2 linked regions of the Macaca mulatta genome follow. The protein of the gene in region 1 purifies or fractionates together with the protein of each later gene. This does not show direct contact. Links are inferred from orthologs where the notes say so. Each region holds a gene or a part of one and is shown on either strand. Other genes may lie near its edges.

Region 1 (3,656 bases):
TTTTTCAGGGAAAAAACCCCAAAACCTTATTGTGAGCCACAATAAAGTCACCAACCAAAGTAATCTTTGAAGAAGGGGAAAGGGATAGACTTATCTTGTGTACATTTGAATTCCTCTTTTAATTTAGAAGATAATATTATTGGCAATATCCTATGAACAATGCCCAAATGATCTAAGAGGTAGCCTAATGATTTAGAAAATTCATATTTACCCTGTTTTGTACCTAATTTCCTCCACATGTAAAATCAATATTATTAGGAGCTAATGTAAGCAGGCTTCCCCATATGAACCACCTGAATAAGTACAGCAGCCTTCAATCACACCAATGAGTTACCCAAAACCAAATCTTCCCATCTCACAAAGAAAATACCAAATGCCCACTTGCTTCAAGAACCAATTGTAAAACGCTAAGTAAAGCTGTGGAGATAGAGGATAAACATATTGTGGTACACCCATACCACGGTATATTACTCAGCCATCAAATGGAAATACTGGTACAACATGAATGGATCTCAAAATCAGTGTTAAACAAAACAGATACAAACTAATTGTTTAATTCCATTTATAACAAAGCATAAGAACAGACAAAACTAATGGACAGTGGTAAACATGGTTGTAAAGGAGGGAAAGAGATTGACTGGAATGTGGATGAGCATTTTTTTGGCGGTGATGAAAGTGTTACCTTGTTTTGCAATTGTCAAAACTCATAGAACTGAACTCTTAAGGTTTGCACATTTTATTATATGTCAATTATACCATGAATTTAAAAAAATAGTAAGAGTTGTGAGAATACTTAATTACCTTGTGGTAAACTTCTTGCAAGGAGCTTTGGGCACCCTCTGAAGCAGAGCCAATTGCACGAGCATCACACTGTACAAAGGTCCCAGATGGATCCATATGAAACCTGCAAAACCCCCAAAATGAGGACTAAAATGCTCAGGAGTGGTGGCACTTTACATAACAAACGTCTCACTAAAACAAAGCACAAATGCTTGGCCCTAGAGCCAGGAGACACCACTGAAACATTGAGGCAGCCGGGCGCAGTGGCTCAAGCCCGTAATCCCAGCACTTTGGGAGGCCGAGACGGGCGGATCACGAGGTCAGGAGATCGAGACCATCCTGGCTAACACGGTGAAACCCCGTCTCTACTAAAAAATACAAAAAACTAGCCGGGCGAGGTGGCGGGCCCCTGTAGTCCCACCTACTCAGGAGGCTGAGGCAGGAGAATGCTGTAAACCCAGGAGGCGGAGCTTGCAGTGAGCTGAGATCCGGCGATTGCACCCCAGCCTGGGTGACACAGCGAGACTCCGTCTCAAAAAAAAAAAAATATATTGAGGCACAGATCTAAAAGATGTTCTATGTCTGGAGAAACCAGACATTTTAGAAAGTGTTTAAGAAAATTAGCAGCTTCCTTAGGGATTCAGAAGTATAGTATGTATAAATATGGTACTTGTTTATGCCTATCTTAGAAATATCTGAGGATGAGGATCAGATCAACATTCCAGAGCAAAGCTCTAAAACATACCCTGACTATAGTAACAAGTTACTTCTAATTCCTTCCAGAATTAGCACTGGTTCCAATAGAGGAATTCTTCATGGAATCCCCAAATTTGGGCAAACGGCATAGAATCACTAAACTTTAGTATTAGAAGCCATATATATATATACACACACACTTAACAATAGCCCTTTTTACAATAATCTTTTTTAAATACATTTTTTAAAGAGATGGGGTCTGACTCTGTTATCCAGGCTGGAGTGCAGTGACATAATCATAAGCTCACTACGGCCTGGATGACAACTCCTGGGCTCAAGAGATCCTCCTGCCTCAGCCTTCAAGTAGCTGGGACTACAGGTGTGTGCTAATACCTGGCTAATAGTCTACAATAATCTTCTCAGTCCCCACCCCAAATTAAAATAACTCCCCACAAAAGCATGGGGGAAAATTACAAAATGGTACTTACAGCTGAGGTCCTTTCTCATCAACTCCTCCAAATAACAATGCTACTCCAAAGGGACGAGACTAGAACCAAAAGGCAAGAGATATTAAGATAAATGGCTATGAAGTAAGGAGTGAGAGGGGCTGGGAATGTTATGTTTACAGGACAAATGTCCTAAGTCCCACAGAACAATAAAAAAAACTCGACACAAGTATCACACTCACCATGGCACCTGGATCTGCATCTTCTTCTCCAAACTGGAGAGCCAGATTGGACACAGCTTGGGTCACACTCTCCACTGTCATTGTCTCATTGTAGGTGAACCAGTGGTTCTAGAAGAAGAGCAAACCATGGTACACCCTTCTAATAAGGACACTGAGGCAGCCCACCATCTCACTACGCACATTCCTTTAAACTGGGATTGGAAACTGAAGGCTCAAATGTGGTTTTCTTAATTAACATTAACCCTGAGTACTTGGGAGTACATGAGAGGAAGAGAAATAGCTCTGGAAATAAACATTATCACAAGGACTCTAAGCAATGACGGACAAGAGAATTTTTGCCTTGAAAAAGAGGAATATGCCCTGAAAGCACCAAGTTTACTCTTGTCAAAAACTAAAAGTGCCTCTTTCCCTCAAAGACTCTAGCTTATTCTGTTGATGTTTAAGTTAAATGACTTATTCTTACATAAGTACAGACAGCAAACTTGCAAGTAAGTGCAAAAAATTTTACCGTGAGATATATTTTTCTTACTAGCCTATCTCCAAGCAGCAGCTACAAAGTTTAAAAAAAAACAAAAAAAACAGTATCCCTGATCAGTATTTGTCAGCTGGTACAAGTTATTACTCACCAGAGGAGGGCTGTTATTTGCAAGCCTGGCAACAAAGGCAGTTGAGGTGAGAATATCCTTTAACTATGTCCACCTCCTGCCGTGATGCTCCCACAGAAAGTCAATTAGGAAACAATGCATTACAATGCATGCTTTATATAAGGCAAAGCCAAAAAAAAAAAAGGAAGACACTGTCAGCACTACTGACCAGAGCCTCTTTAAAACTGCAGTGATCAGACAGCTAAACTCCAAGCCCCAGAAAGTTCTAACTGGGAATTCTACCCAAAATTACTCCCAAGAGCCACATCTAATATTGACACAGACACCTGCAGTATAGCCCAGGCAGCTACATAATCACTAAACAAGCAACTCAAGTATCCTGGTAAAAGGGAGATAATGCCAATTTTACCTGTGTCTCCACTCTGGCTTTATCAATTAAAGTCTTAGCATCAGCAATTAGCCCACTCATGGCACAACCTGCAATGTAAAAGCGACAGTGACCCAGTGGCCAAATCCTTGTAGAACTCTTTCATCCACTCAGGAAATCCTGAAATTCTGGAGTGGAACCATGGCAGCCATTCAGCTATCCCATGGCATTTTATACCCGAAAGTTTAGATAGGAAATGATCTGCCCTGAACCCAAGTATTAACGATGTTAGAAACAAAAAACCATCCACAATGACACACAAGTCCAGATGATAAAAATAAGTCCAGAGAAAAGCAGCTAAACAAACATGAATTTCCACATATTACATCCCTAAACATCCCTTTAGCACTCTTTGTAGATGATGATACATTTTCAAACTAAGCAAACACGAATGTCCCAACCTGGGAAACAGAGAAAAGAAAATCACCTCACTATGGACTACAGTGGAGGACTCTCGAAT
Region 2 (3,656 bases), on another chromosome or scaffold:
CTTGAATTGTCACACTGTACTCCAGCCTGGGTGACAGTGCTAGACTCCATCTCAAAAAAATAAAATAAAATAAAAAATAAAATCCTGCGGTGGTCAATGAAGATGGTGGAAAATTCCCTATAATGGAATAAAGCAGACATAAATCAGCTTAACTATCTATAAAACAGATAACTTCATTATATTGATTTAAAAAACAAGCACTAATCTAAGTACCTTTGGAAGATACTACTCTGCCTACATCTTTTGTGGGACATAGGTAAAAGACAAAAAGAACTGAAAATAAATCATTTGGAACTTTACTTAGTAGGTTTGTTCTTAGTAGGCACTGATGTCATTCAGAAAATATTTGTGTGTATTCTGGGATCAAGTAAATAAGTAAATATGTTGATGCTGTTGGGAATCAGGGTTCTCACCACAGGAGAAGGGACATATAAGTACGGAATAAGAGAAAAAGAATCCTGTAGTGTTATATTAAAAACAGAGGTGGCAATTTAAACTCATAAGGAAAAATTTTCCTAGTTCTATCTGCTGAAAAGGCCTAGAATGTACTACTGTATGATACCAACTATATGACACTCTAGAAAAGGCAAAACTATGGAGACAGTAAAAAGATCAGTGGTTGCCAGGAGTTAGTGAAAAGGGAGTGAAGAATAGGAGGAGCACAGATTTTTAGGGTAGTCAAACTATTCTGTGTGATACTAATGGTAGACACACATTCTCATCTATTTGTCAAAACCCACAGACTGCACAACAGCAGGCTTGAGCCCTAATAATGATGTGTCAATGTAGACTCATCAGTTGTAAGGAGTGTATCACTATGTATGGGATATTGACACAGGGAAGCTATAAGCTGTGGGTGTATGGGACCAGGAGGTAATATGGGAACGCTCTGCACTTTCTGCTCAATTTTGCTTGTACCTAAAACGACCCTAAAGAAAATAATTTTTTTTTTAAGTTGGAGATTGGGGTTGGGGACCCAATGGGGTACACATTCTCCCAGGAGTCTGCTCTGGCTGAATGAGTTGGCCTGGCTCCACCTCTACTCTGCAGCCACCACAACACTTGTGGACTCCTGATTGCATCATCTTGTCTCATGTGGCATTTCCTATGTGAGTCTCCTCTTCAAATACATAAAAAACAGAAAAGAAAATTAGGAAGTTGTGCCCAGAAATAAAAGGTTCTTCCATCCACCTTCCTTAATTTTCTGGAGACATCTACCCTATTCCTTATATCTTGCCATTGGTTCTCTCTTTTCCAGGGAAGAGACATCATTTAGAAGTACCTGTGGAAGTCACCCAGGTGTTCTGCATCGATATAATCATCCAAGTTCAGGGTCAAGTCTGCCACTTGCTGTGAGCCATATTCCTAGATGAGTGAAAATAGAAAGTGAGAGACTGGGATATTTCTAGGCTAAGCGTGGGAGGGTGGAGGGAGAGTAACAGAGTCTTCAACCTAAAGAAATATTCACATATGTCCACAAAGACATATATAAGGACTGTTTATATAAAATACCTTCCTAAGGCTTAGAGACTTCTTTGATTTAGGAATACTGCCTTTCCAAGGCAGAGGCTAAAACACCTACTTCCCAGGCTCTTTCGCAAAAGGGCTCAGGCATGGTAACTGAGGTGTTGAACTGATGCATCAACTTTGAGTTGGAGGTGAGCAACATGAAGAGGCAGACCCAGCAAGGGGCAGATATCTTGTTAATGAGGGTAGCAGCAGAGGCCAGGGGGTCATATCAGCAGCTTAACAGAAGGGTGCACCAGGGCAGAGAGAATCAGCCAGTACCTAATACTGGGCAGTGTTGGTGGCAGCAGCGGTTTCCGGGGCATGATTTGGGACACTGCTTCTGGAAACCTAGCCTTAAACCTGTTTCAATGAGCTATCCTGGTTCTTTTCGTTTTGTTTTGTTTGTTTTGAGATAGAGGCTTGCTCTATCGCCCAGGCTGGAGTTCAGTGGTGCAATCTCGGCTCACAGTAAACTCTGTCTCTTGGGTTCAAGGGATTCTCCTACCTCAGCCTCCCAAGTAGCTGGGATTACAGGCACCCACCACCATGCCTGGCTAATTTTTAAAAATATTTCTAGTAGAGACAGGGTTTCACCACATTGACCAGGCTGGTCTCAAACTCCTGACTTCAAGTGATCCACCTGCCTTAGCCTCCCAAAGTGTTGGGATTATAGTGTGAGCCACTGCGCCTGGGTGATCCTGGTTCTTTTAATAAACCCTTTTTGATTAAACTAACCCAAGAGGTTTTTGTTGTTTGAAACCAAGAACCCTATCTGACACAAGATCTAAATGTTCACCAAAAGGGAAAGGAATAAAGAAATTATGGTGCCATGAGAAACTACATAACAGTTAAAACAAATAAGGTACATCTACATGTATTTCCATGTCAAGACCTCCAAAACATCGAGTGAAAAAAAGGCAAAGTGCAGTATAATACATAGAGCAGGATACTTCCACATGGTCACACACAAACCACTAAGACAAAAGTTAACAAAAAGAAAGTCACTGTCCTTGTGGCACATACAGTCCCATGGCAGAATAAAAGCAAAGCACAAATAACTACACAATTACAAGCTGCAATGAGTGTCACGCAGGAAAATAAAATGATGGCGTAGAGAGACATAATTTAGATTTTTTTGGCAGTAGGAATGGTAGGAGTGGGTAGTCAGCACTGAACTTTTTGAGGAAGTCAAACATGAAAGAGAATTGTCCAGGCTGAAGGAATGGTGGAGGGCTGTGAGAGGGGCAGATGGGGGAGGGGAAGAGCCTTCCAGCATAGGAAATATAAAGTGCAAGGGCTCCAAGGCAGCAAAGAATTCAATTTATTTAAGGAACTGAAGTAGCCCACTGGAGTTACCTAAGTTTTTTCCTTCTGTCTTGTCACTGAACAGATTTACTTTATTTAACCATTTCCCTGTTGACAGAAAGCCCCTCCTTCTTAATTCCAGGTGGTAAATATCTTTGTGTACAAATATTTTTTATACTTAGGGTTCTCACCTTAAGATAAATTTCCAGAAGTGGGATCACCGGGTAAGGGCTACACGAACATTGGAGCTCTGGATCCAGACTGTTAAATGGGTTTCAAAACAGCCATTCCCATCCTCATCTCATCAGCAGACTTACGTGTCTCAGAGACTCACCAGCACATTGAGGATCATGCTGCTCTCCACGGTGATGGCTTTCACAAGGAGCTTTCTGGACCCATCCTTATACTCATACCGGAGGACATACAGGTCCTTATTGTTGTTCCACCCAGCTGGCAGCAGTTCTGACTTCTTATCATTGGGACCCGGCTGGGAAGACACCACAGTTGAGAGGAGAAAGATCATGACCTCAAAACACAGAATTATAAAGAACCTCACAAGATAAGCTAATCTTACCCGCCTCACTTCACAGATGAAGATGTGGAGGTCAAGAGAAATGACTTGCCCAAGATCCTACAGCAAGAGAGAGGTCTAGGGCCCAGGTCTCTGGGCTTCTGTTCTACTGTGCTCTCCCTCATATTGAGCTACCTTTCTGACACCGCATTGGAACCTGTCAAGAATCTGCAGTGTTGGTTTAATAATCATCTCTTCCCCATCCCTCTGCTAAGAATAAAGCCAGTCACCTTGAGGATCACTGAGAAGTTCTAAGTAGTGTTTTTCAAAG

Evidence for each region. The genes of interacting proteins can lie anywhere in the genome.
Region 2: the proteins of PSMA5 (region 1) and PSMF1 purify together in Homo sapiens (co-immunoprecipitation; 3 studies listed by BioGRID and IntAct, with this or other methods). This does not show direct contact. The link is inferred for Macaca mulatta from reciprocal best matches to the Homo sapiens genes PSMA5 and PSMF1.

The regions. Positions count from the first base shown.
Region 1 is NC_133406.1:130,793,177-130,796,832, reverse strand, and holds part of PSMA5 (proteasome subunit alpha type-5), read right to left. Parts: intron 3,247-3,656; coding exon 3,179-3,246; intron 2,273-3,178; coding exon 2,165-2,272; intron 2,024-2,164; coding exon 1,965-2,023; intron 905-1,964; coding exon 802-904; intron 1-801. UniProt on the Homo sapiens protein: Component of the 20S core proteasome complex involved in the proteolytic degradation of most intracellular proteins. This complex plays numerous essential roles within the cell by associating with different regulatory particles.
Region 2 is NC_133415.1:83,009,011-83,012,666, forward strand, and holds part of PSMF1 (proteasome inhibitor PI31 subunit), read right to left. Parts: intron 3,302-3,656; coding exon 3,149-3,301; intron 1,366-3,148; coding exon 1,283-1,365; intron 1-1,282. UniProt on the Homo sapiens protein: Plays an important role in control of proteasome function. Inhibits the hydrolysis of protein and peptide substrates by the 20S proteasome. Also inhibits the activation of the proteasome by the proteasome regulatory proteins PA700 and PA28.